Nothobranchius furzeri: one gene and its partner. The protein of the gene in region 1 binds, or shares a complex with, the protein of each later gene. Links are inferred from orthologs where the notes say so. Each region holds a gene or a part of one and is shown in the gene's direction. Other genes may lie near its edges.

Region 1 (4,495 bases):
TGTGCGATTAGATGAACTTTCATGATGTGAAGCTAAAACAAATGACTTGGAGGCGACCCGCTCACGTTTCTCTTTTAATGAGCCGAGTCTTTTCTGCCTGATTTCAGGACACATTTATCAGGTAAAGGAGAGTTTATCAAAGACTCCACAGGAGATGATTCCCTCTGTGTTTCCAAACACCTGAGGTACAGTTAACTTAAATGTTGTCATTAAAATGTAAGCAGTCAGATGAATGAGCTAAATGCGTCTGTTGTGGATTTAGGTTTACCAGGTGCTTTTCAAGCAGCGCTACACGGCGTCCTGACAGCCTCCCAGTTTGAGTCGGCCATCAGAGACACCATGAGCTGTGGGGGGTGCACCTGCAGCAGAGCATCCTTCATTGGAGCGTGTCTTGGAGCTCAGGTCTCACTGTTAATGTAACATCTCTAATGTCCTGAAACTATTCATGGGCTGTTTAATTAAATTTGCTTTTTTGATTCTAGGTTGGGATTGAGGGAATCCCGACGTCGTGGATGAGCAAAACCCTCAGATGCAAATCAGTCCTGGAGCATGCTGAGAAGATTACCAAACACCACCTGTAATCTGGAATATCATGAAGAACTGTTGAGCTTCTGCAGAGCTGCTTATGAGGGTTTCTGTCTAAACATGAGTGACAAAAGCCTGATGTTTTAGTCTCTGCTTGAGTTAAGCTAGTTACTTCGGATGTTCTTTGATTTGTTTAAAATGAGTCTGAAAATGTTTTGATTGAGAGCTTTATGACTGATATGTACTCATCACGCTGAAGATAAAACTGATTATGTTTAAGCATTTTCACTTTTGCTTCCTCTAAAATACAACAGGAATCACATCCATCAAATACGGAAAATGTACTCATCGCTTGCAACGAGGGAGAAAATATAATTTGAAGAATTCTATGTAAAAAATGTTTGGTTAAAATTTTTTTCTTCACAATTCATTGCTGTGCTTGGATCTTAAATTACAACGCTGCCATTAAAGAAACTTCAGATGTGCATTAGAACTAAACACTGTAGTTTTTGACTGGAGTTGGAGATTCTTCTCACTTCTTCCAATCACTGTTAATGTTAATGTGCAAATAAAGCTGAAGCTAATATTTAAATCCAGATTTCAAGTTTCTGCATTTAATTATGTGCATGCATTTGTATGACCACACCTGAGTAAAAGGGGAACTTGTAACATATTTGACATTAGGTGTACGTTTTTGTTTTATTCCCCAGAGGATCATTCATTCTGAATTAGAAACATGGATGGTGTGGTGCTGTGTTGTCTGGGATCATCAGAAACATCTGTTGTTGTTTGTGTTTAGCTTGAGCTACATGTGGGCTAGCTTTGTTAGAGGGTGGGTAACTTCTTAAAAGAAACGTCTGCCAAGTAGAACATGCGTCGTGATTTCATAAAATCTGTTTCAGAAGAAAAGTTAGTAACATAAATTCTGTTTTGTCTGGCTCTCATAAAGAGCCAACTTGATGTAGTGTGTTGATTTAGTATGTTTTTGTGGAGTGTGTATTTATTATTTGGACCAGGAAGACATGATGTCAAGTCTGGTTTCTTAGGCCTAATTTTTTTCTTAGTGTTCCTTGAAGACGACAAAAGGGTTTTAAATCATAAGAAAAATCGTCATTAGCGCAACTTTGATTTTTAGGTAAATACGAATAAAGTAATAAAGAATACATGTTTGCGCAAAAAATTGTCCCGTCACGACCACCGTAGTCCATTCTGACGACACACTTGTGCACCTCGGAGTCAAACATGGCTGGGAAAGGAGGAAAACAACAGAGTCGTTCAGGCTCCGGCATTTCGGGTAGGAAAGGTGCCGGGGAGCAGGAGGAGGAGGAGCAGCCGCTGCAGGCCGTCCTAGTCGCTGACAGCTTTAACCGAAAGTTTTTCCCGGTGACTAAGGACCAGCCACGGGTAAGCAGCGAGCTAAGCTAACATGCTAATGTTAGCTAAGTGATGTTCTGCTGTAAACAGACAGAGTTGCTATAAACTGATAGAAACTCGTTAATAAGCAATAAAAAATAGATACGTTTTAACTTTTTTTTTTTTAAATTGAAAACGTGTTAGAATTATTCCTAATCTCCCAGACAGACATAATGATACATTTTATTTACTGTCACTGTGATGTCAGGCTTTGCTCCCGCTGGGCAATGCTGCCATGATCGATTACACTCTGGAGTTCCTCACGTCCACCGGAGTGCAGGAAACATTTGTCTTCTGCTGCTGGATGGCCAGTAAAATCAAGGCGCATTTGTTGTGAGTGTTTGAGTGTGTGGGTGATTCAGTGCTTCCTGATTAATTTAAACTAAAGAGGTGGATCTGATGTTTCACCTGACAGGAACTCAAAGTGGTGTCGACCCAGTTCTCCAAACACGGTCCACATCATCACCTCAGAACTGTACCGCTCCCTCGGAGACGTGCTCAGGGATGTCGATGCAAAGTCTCTTGTGCGATCTGACTTTGTGTTGGTTTATGGAGATGTCATATCAAACATTGATGTCAGTCAGGCTCTGCAGGAGCACAGGTACAAGAGTCTCTTCTTTACTCATCAGTCTGTGGAGTTTATGCACTTAAACTGGGTTTCGCACACCTCAGGCACCGGCGAAAGATGGAGAAGATTATCTCCGTGATGACCATGATCTTTAAGGATTCATCTCCAGGTCACAGGTCACGCTGTGAGGAAGATGATGTTGTTGTAGCTGTGGACAGTAAGAGTCAGCAGATTTTACACTACCAGAAGACACAAGGGCTGAAGAAGCTGCAGTTTCCCATGGTAAGCTGCTGTTTCACTGGTAGATGATCAAACTTTTAGATTTGGTAGATCTCTAATAGATGCTTCTGTTGATGTTTTGCAGAACATTTTTCACAGCAGTAGTGATGAGTTTGAAATCAGACATGACCTTCTGGACTGCCACATCAGTATCTGCTCTCCACAGGTGAGGTTTAATACATATAAAATCCTGAATTGTATTATTGGCAACTTTAATAAAAATTTCTGCACATTTTTTCCAGGTCGCCGAGCTCTTCACAGATAACTTTGATTACCAAACTAGGGATGATTTTGTCAGAGGGCTATTGGTCAATGAAGAGGTGCCTCAGAGCTGTTTTTCCACATCACGCTGTGTTCTCCTTGTACCTTTTAGATGAGTTCTAATATATTTTCTCTGTTTAGATACTTGGTAATCAGATCCACATACACGCCACTCACGATGGCTACGGTGTTCGCGTGTCCAACTTACTCATGTACGATTCTGTGTCGTCTGACTTTGTGCGGCGATGGTTCTACCCCATCACGCCCGAGTCCAACTTCACGGATCAGGAGGGCCGCAGCTGCACGTACTCTCGCCACAATGTGTACCGCGGGTCCGGAGTCAGCCTGGGCCACGGCAGCCAGATGAAGGAGAACGTTCTCATTGGCTGCGACACTAGCATTGGCGCCAACTGCTGTCTCTCGAACAGCGTCATTGGGGACAACTGCACCATAGGTCAGCATAGTCTGGATTACACGAATAGAAACTGTCAGATAACGGGTGATTGTGCATCAGGTTACAGAAAAGTCCCTGATATCTTTTAATAATTTCTTTCAACAGGCGACAATGTAGTCCTGGACCACGCCTACATCTGGAATAATGTTCACATTGCCAGTAACGTTGAGATCAGGCAGTCTGTGGTCTGTGACAAGGCTGAGGTCAAAGAGGGCGTGACCCTAAACAAACAATGTGTCTTGGCTTATAATGTAAGCTACAAACACACCATCTGGGTACAAAAAGGCACCAAATGGTGGCGTCTCTAGGTTTTTGTGTGGTAATTAGACTTTGAACTGGTTTTAGGTGGTGATAGGACCAAACGTGTGTCTGTCTGAAGGAACCGTTGTGTCCATGCATCATCCCGAGGAGGAGCAGGAGGAAGATGCTGACGAGTTCCTCAGTGATGATGCTGAAGTTGGACACAGTAAAGACAAAAGCAAGCAGAAAGGTTTGAAATGACTCTGATTTGAATAACTAAAGTGAAATGTAGGAATACATCTGTACTTTCTTCTGTCTCCCAGTTTTCAACCCAGCTGAGGTTGGAGCAGAAGGGAGAGGTTACATCTGGAAGGCCAGCAGCCTGGATGACACGGAGGACGAGGAGCTGTCTCAGTGTCTCTGGGGTAGGAGACACATCCCATCATATAGACGCGTGAATCCCGACTCAGTTTAATTAATAATGTTTACTGGATACGACCAGGTTTGGTGTTGAACCCGGATCCGGAGAGCGACAGTGAGGACGGTGAGCCGGATGGCCCGGATGATCCGGTGAGCCTGTCTCCTGAGATGGACGACGTCAAAGGTGAGAAGCCATCTGGATGTTGACGTGTGTGACTGCCCACGGCTGGTTAAATTTCATATTTTCACATGTTTCAGTGAGCTCATAGAGGCCATTTAAAACTCAAAGCGCCTGAATGTTGCTGTTGTGCAGTCTTCCAGATGGAGGTGATCGG
Region 2 (4,291 bases), about 9.2 Mb from region 1:
TTTTCATTGGTACACTCAATCCATCCACTCAATCCAAATGTGTTTCACACATTTGTCCTTCACCAGAATGTTTCATCTATCTTGTAATTTCCATTTTGTATTTTGTAATTTGTATTTTGTAATTTGAATTTCTTTTATTGTTGATTTATTCAATATATTTACATACAACTGTACATTGTTCAGCGCTTTGGGCTTCCTGACAGGGTTGCGGAAGGCGCTTTATAAATAAAGCTTTGATTGATTGATTGATTGATTGAACAATCCAGACATGACATTAAAAAAGACAAAGGTTTTAATTGTATGTGTCTACATTCATAACTATGAAGGTACACAGTAACGAACACACTGTGAAGCTCACAGTAATCAACTGGCAGCAATTAACAAGTAAGTTATTGTTAAAAAGGATTACAGTGCTGATGCTGAGTTTGTGATTTCCTACAGTTCACAGTACATTTTTGTGAGATTTCAAACTATTGTAAATTATTGTATTATTATTTAAAATAAAAAAATTAAAATGTGCACTTTTTTCCGTTTTCCTTTATAAAAACTGACTTTTATCATACAGCTTAATCTGTGATAGCTATACATTTTCCCCAATGCACTGATTCTACTGCCCTCACTTAACCCAATAATACTAAAGCCTACTGCATACTCTGCAAACAAGATGCAAAAAGATAAATCAGTTCACCTACACAATTAGCCAACAGGCTTTTGCCAAATTCGGCGTACTGGATTCAGTGTGCACTCTTCGTTCTATGGTGTTGCTCACTCAAGCTACGGTACTTTGTCTTTTTTTCCTCACTTGTTGCTTGCCTGGTTTTGAGCAAGCAGTAATGAGCAGTCAAGCTCATCTCCTGGCCAGAACAAACAAAACCAAAGCCACATTCCCCGAGCTCAATTTTCTGTTACGTCTCAGCTCTGTGGATTGAGAGTTTTCAGGCCTGAAGTTTGGAGGCTGTGTGACTTCTGGCTGCTAATATACTCACACTATTTTGGTGTCTGTGTGAAAGTAAATTCATTAAACATGCTTAAAAGTAACATGCATTCATATAATGTTTTAAACCAAAAATTTAAAGGGTGGGGGTATCATTGAATAGAAATAAGGAAAATATTGCAATTAACAATCTTTGAATACTTATTATCACCGGTGTTGATAAATAAAGAGATCTGTATTTTCACACTTTCTTCAGATCATTACAAAGTTAGATTATATCTTAGCTCTTATTCAGAAAAAATGTTTTTAAATTTTCTCATAAATGAAATCTGTGCATGTGCTTTCCGTTTTTTTGAATAACTACACATTCATATTATTAGACAGACAGCCATAATGCTTTCATGTAATAACATTCACGTCAGCGGTAATACCCGGTATATTCTGTAGGAACAAATGTCGAGGAATCAGTTTCCTCACGGGCACATTTTACTGAACACTCCCAATGTCATCATACTATTGCTAGCTGTTAGCTTGGCTTACGCTGTTCTTGTACAGTGTTTCAGCAAGCTTTTTGATTTTTTTCACCAACGCTTATCATATGATAAGTTTTGCTTCCAAAAGAGCTGTCTAGCTGAGTTTGACTTTGAGCATTAATTTGAGTAGCGGCATCGTTTACGTCTGTGTACCGATAGTTAGCCAGGTGCTAACTACTCATCACAACTTGCATGCGTCTGTTTCTTCTGTCATCGAAAGGCAACTGGATTTAAGGATAGGTATGCAAATGTTAACCATTCTCGAGTTCAGGCATTTTACTCGAGTTGAAGTCACTGGCATTTATTTAATTGAACCGCATGTTGTGATGCTCTTGCCCTGTTCAACCTTATGTGAGACGATAACTTTTCCTTTCAGTGAGCTTTTTCAGTCACCGGCACGTCTCATCTTGTCCCACAGTTCTTATTGCTGCATTTCAAGCTGCGCTAATCAAGCAAGGTCATGAATCTAATCTAAACGTTAAATTCTGTTAAACTATAGGAATGTGTTTTTAGTAAAAAATAAGAAAACGTTTACTACTTTTGTCAATATATGTATTGATTCATATTTCTGTACATTTACAAATAATTACAGATTATCTTTCATATCGCGTTTAACCTCTCATTAAGGTATTAAACGTTTGCAATCTAATGTTTTAAACCTAAACATAATTAGCACACAATTAGGCAGAATTTCAAACAAAATCAACACATGCATATAATCAGTCTTTACTCATTTCAATAGATCTTTTAAACTGATTTCAAATTAGCTTCACAGCTTTGAGTAAGGAAAATAAATCTACAATATATATATATATCCAACAGATGAAAGATGCCTCATGCCTACCTTCTTAAATTTCTAAAGATGTCCAGCAGTGTCATGTGCTCAAAGTTGTACAAACCTTTTAAATACCTGTGTGACCTAGGTACACATATCTACTCTCTTAATTAGTCTAACAAGAAATGCTCTTAACATGTTATTATACAGACAAACCCATACAGCTTATCAAAAATATAAGAACTTAGGTGCAGCCAAGTAGGTGCTCTGATTAAGGCAACAGTTACTAGATTATCTCAGAAGATTATGCCAAAAACCTGCAGTGTGGACACTTGATTGTCTGCAGGCAACCGGGAAGAAAGTTCTTGCAAGTTTGGTGCTGCATTTCTGCAACAAGATGACAATCTGATACAGCTAGTGAGCATCACAGAGCACTTGACCTTAACAGGATTGTGTCAAAAGTTTAGTTAAAGCAGCAAATAAGTGTACCTAGAAGAACATACGCTGATGTGAGGGCATCATGCATTGATTTGATTTCCAGTAGCTGTTCATTAATGTTAGTTTTGGCAGTTCATTTGATAAAAACTGTTATTATTTTCTTTTAAAGTCTGTTTCTCTCTCCAGACATCATGGAGCTTCAGGCGGTGTTGATGGCAGCTGGGGGAGGTTCTCGTATGACTGACCTAACATACAACACACCTAAACCTATGCTGCCTGTTGGCAACAAACCACTTATGTGGTATCCCTTGAACCTGCTGGAGAGAGTCGGCTTTGAAGGTGAGAACTCAAGCGTTAATTATAATAATTAACATTTTTATACCCTACATAAGCTACAACAAACCCACCTTCGACATGATTAAAAGTCAAATCCAGCAGTATAAGCATAAACACATGTGGGCCATCTAACGTTTAAACTGTATGGACTTGTATGTCGAGTTACGCTGTAATTTACCTTCTAACATCCTCTCAACAATCAGATCTCATGGCGGGAGGGCTCCGTGTAAGCTTTGTGCCCTCCATCCATGTCTCAGTGGCAGGATTTGGAAGAGTTATGGGGAGCACATTCTTGGTTTCCACATAAAATGTAAAGAGGCACAATACAGCTTGTAGGTTTATGTGACTCACTTGAGAAATCCGGAACTTAAAATAGAAAATAAAAATAAAAACTTGACATAAGGACTTGGACAGCATCTTTTATGTATTTGTCTACGCATAATTTTGTGCTTTAGCCTTATTTTCACAGATAAATACATAGACACACAGTTTAAGTCACAAGTAAGGATTAAAACAAATATAATGGTCCTTTGGTATGTGCTTGCTGTGTTGCTTTTCTAACTGCATTGTTGGTTATTTTTTAAAACACAGAAAAGGTTTATTTTTTACCTTTCTGCTCACAGTTTTATTCGCGGTTGCAAACTTCCTCAGAGCGGACGCGTCAGCAGCAAGGTAAAAAAAATAAACCTTTTCTGTGTTTTAAAAAAGAACCAACAATGTAAATATAATGCTATTCACCAGTTTCTTAACTTTAATGAGACAATGTAGTTTTTACCTTTAATCTCTGGAAATATCCATCAAAATGTTGTTGAAAATGAATAAAAGGATGTCCAGTTGTTGAAAAACATTAGCAGCTTCGTTACAAATAACCAAAAACATCAAGACTAAAGTACATGGCGTATTTGGGGGGTGCCATATTAGACGCCATGTTTCCTTTTGACCGTCTTGGGGTCTTGTGCCTGTTGATGACATCACACTAGATAATTGGCTGGACATGGTAGTATGAAACAGATTTAATAACAAAACTGCTAAACTCTTTCCCAGACATATGTGAAAGAGCAGAATTGAAAAGAGATGCAATATATTTTGGCTAAGCGATATTGCCATAGTGGGATGACATCATTGGCAGGCGTAGGACCCAGAGCAGATCCGGAAAGTGCAGCGCAAGAAAACTAGAGTCGGCATTGCATTCTCTCGATGGAATTACCTGAAGGACCCTCAAAGTCTGAGGTTGCATGCCTTCTGCTCCTCAGATAATGTTTACTGTAATGTTTA

What was found.
Region 2: the proteins of eif2b5 (region 1) and eif2b3 are in contact, whole or in part, in a cryo-EM structure (PDB 7VLK), measured with the Homo sapiens proteins. The link is inferred for Nothobranchius furzeri from reciprocal best matches to the Homo sapiens genes EIF2B5 and EIF2B3. Residues at the interface, in NP_003898.2 of Homo sapiens: Pro190, Val202, Arg222, Arg223, Phe224, Ala225, Phe226, Pro227, Leu228, Phe231, Gln232, Ser234, Ser235, Asp236, Gly237, Val238, Glu239, Val240, Arg241, Tyr242, Asp243; in NP_065098.1 of Homo sapiens: Arg155, Phe157, Glu178, Glu179, Leu180, Val181, Ile182, Lys183, Gly184, Leu187, Gln188, Pro191, Arg192, Ile193, Arg194, Phe195, His196, Thr197, Gly198.

The regions. Positions count from the first base shown.
Region 1 is NC_091751.1:63,542,392-63,546,886, forward strand, and holds the start of eif2b5 (translation initiation factor eIF2B subunit epsilon), read left to right. Parts: upstream 1-1,555; 5' UTR 1,556-1,767; coding exon 1,768-1,929; intron 1,930-2,146; coding exon 2,147-2,271; intron 2,272-2,353; coding exon 2,354-2,539; intron 2,540-2,610; coding exon 2,611-2,788; intron 2,789-2,870; coding exon 2,871-2,951; intron 2,952-3,027; coding exon 3,028-3,105; intron 3,106-3,187; coding exon 3,188-3,500; intron 3,501-3,605; coding exon 3,606-3,751; intron 3,752-3,845; coding exon 3,846-3,990; intron 3,991-4,063; coding exon 4,064-4,165; intron 4,166-4,242; coding exon 4,243-4,344; intron 4,345-4,473; coding exon 4,474-4,495. UniProt on the Homo sapiens protein: Acts as a component of the translation initiation factor 2B (eIF2B) complex, which catalyzes the exchange of GDP for GTP on eukaryotic initiation factor 2 (eIF2) gamma subunit.
Region 2 is NC_091751.1:54,335,110-54,339,400, forward strand, and holds the start of eif2b3 (translation initiation factor eIF2B subunit gamma), read left to right. Parts: upstream 1-1,412; 5' UTR 1,413-1,707; intron 1,708-2,866; 5' UTR 2,867-2,871; coding exon 2,872-3,019; intron 3,020-4,291. UniProt on the Homo sapiens protein: Acts as a component of the translation initiation factor 2B (eIF2B) complex, which catalyzes the exchange of GDP for GTP on the eukaryotic initiation factor 2 (eIF2) complex gamma subunit.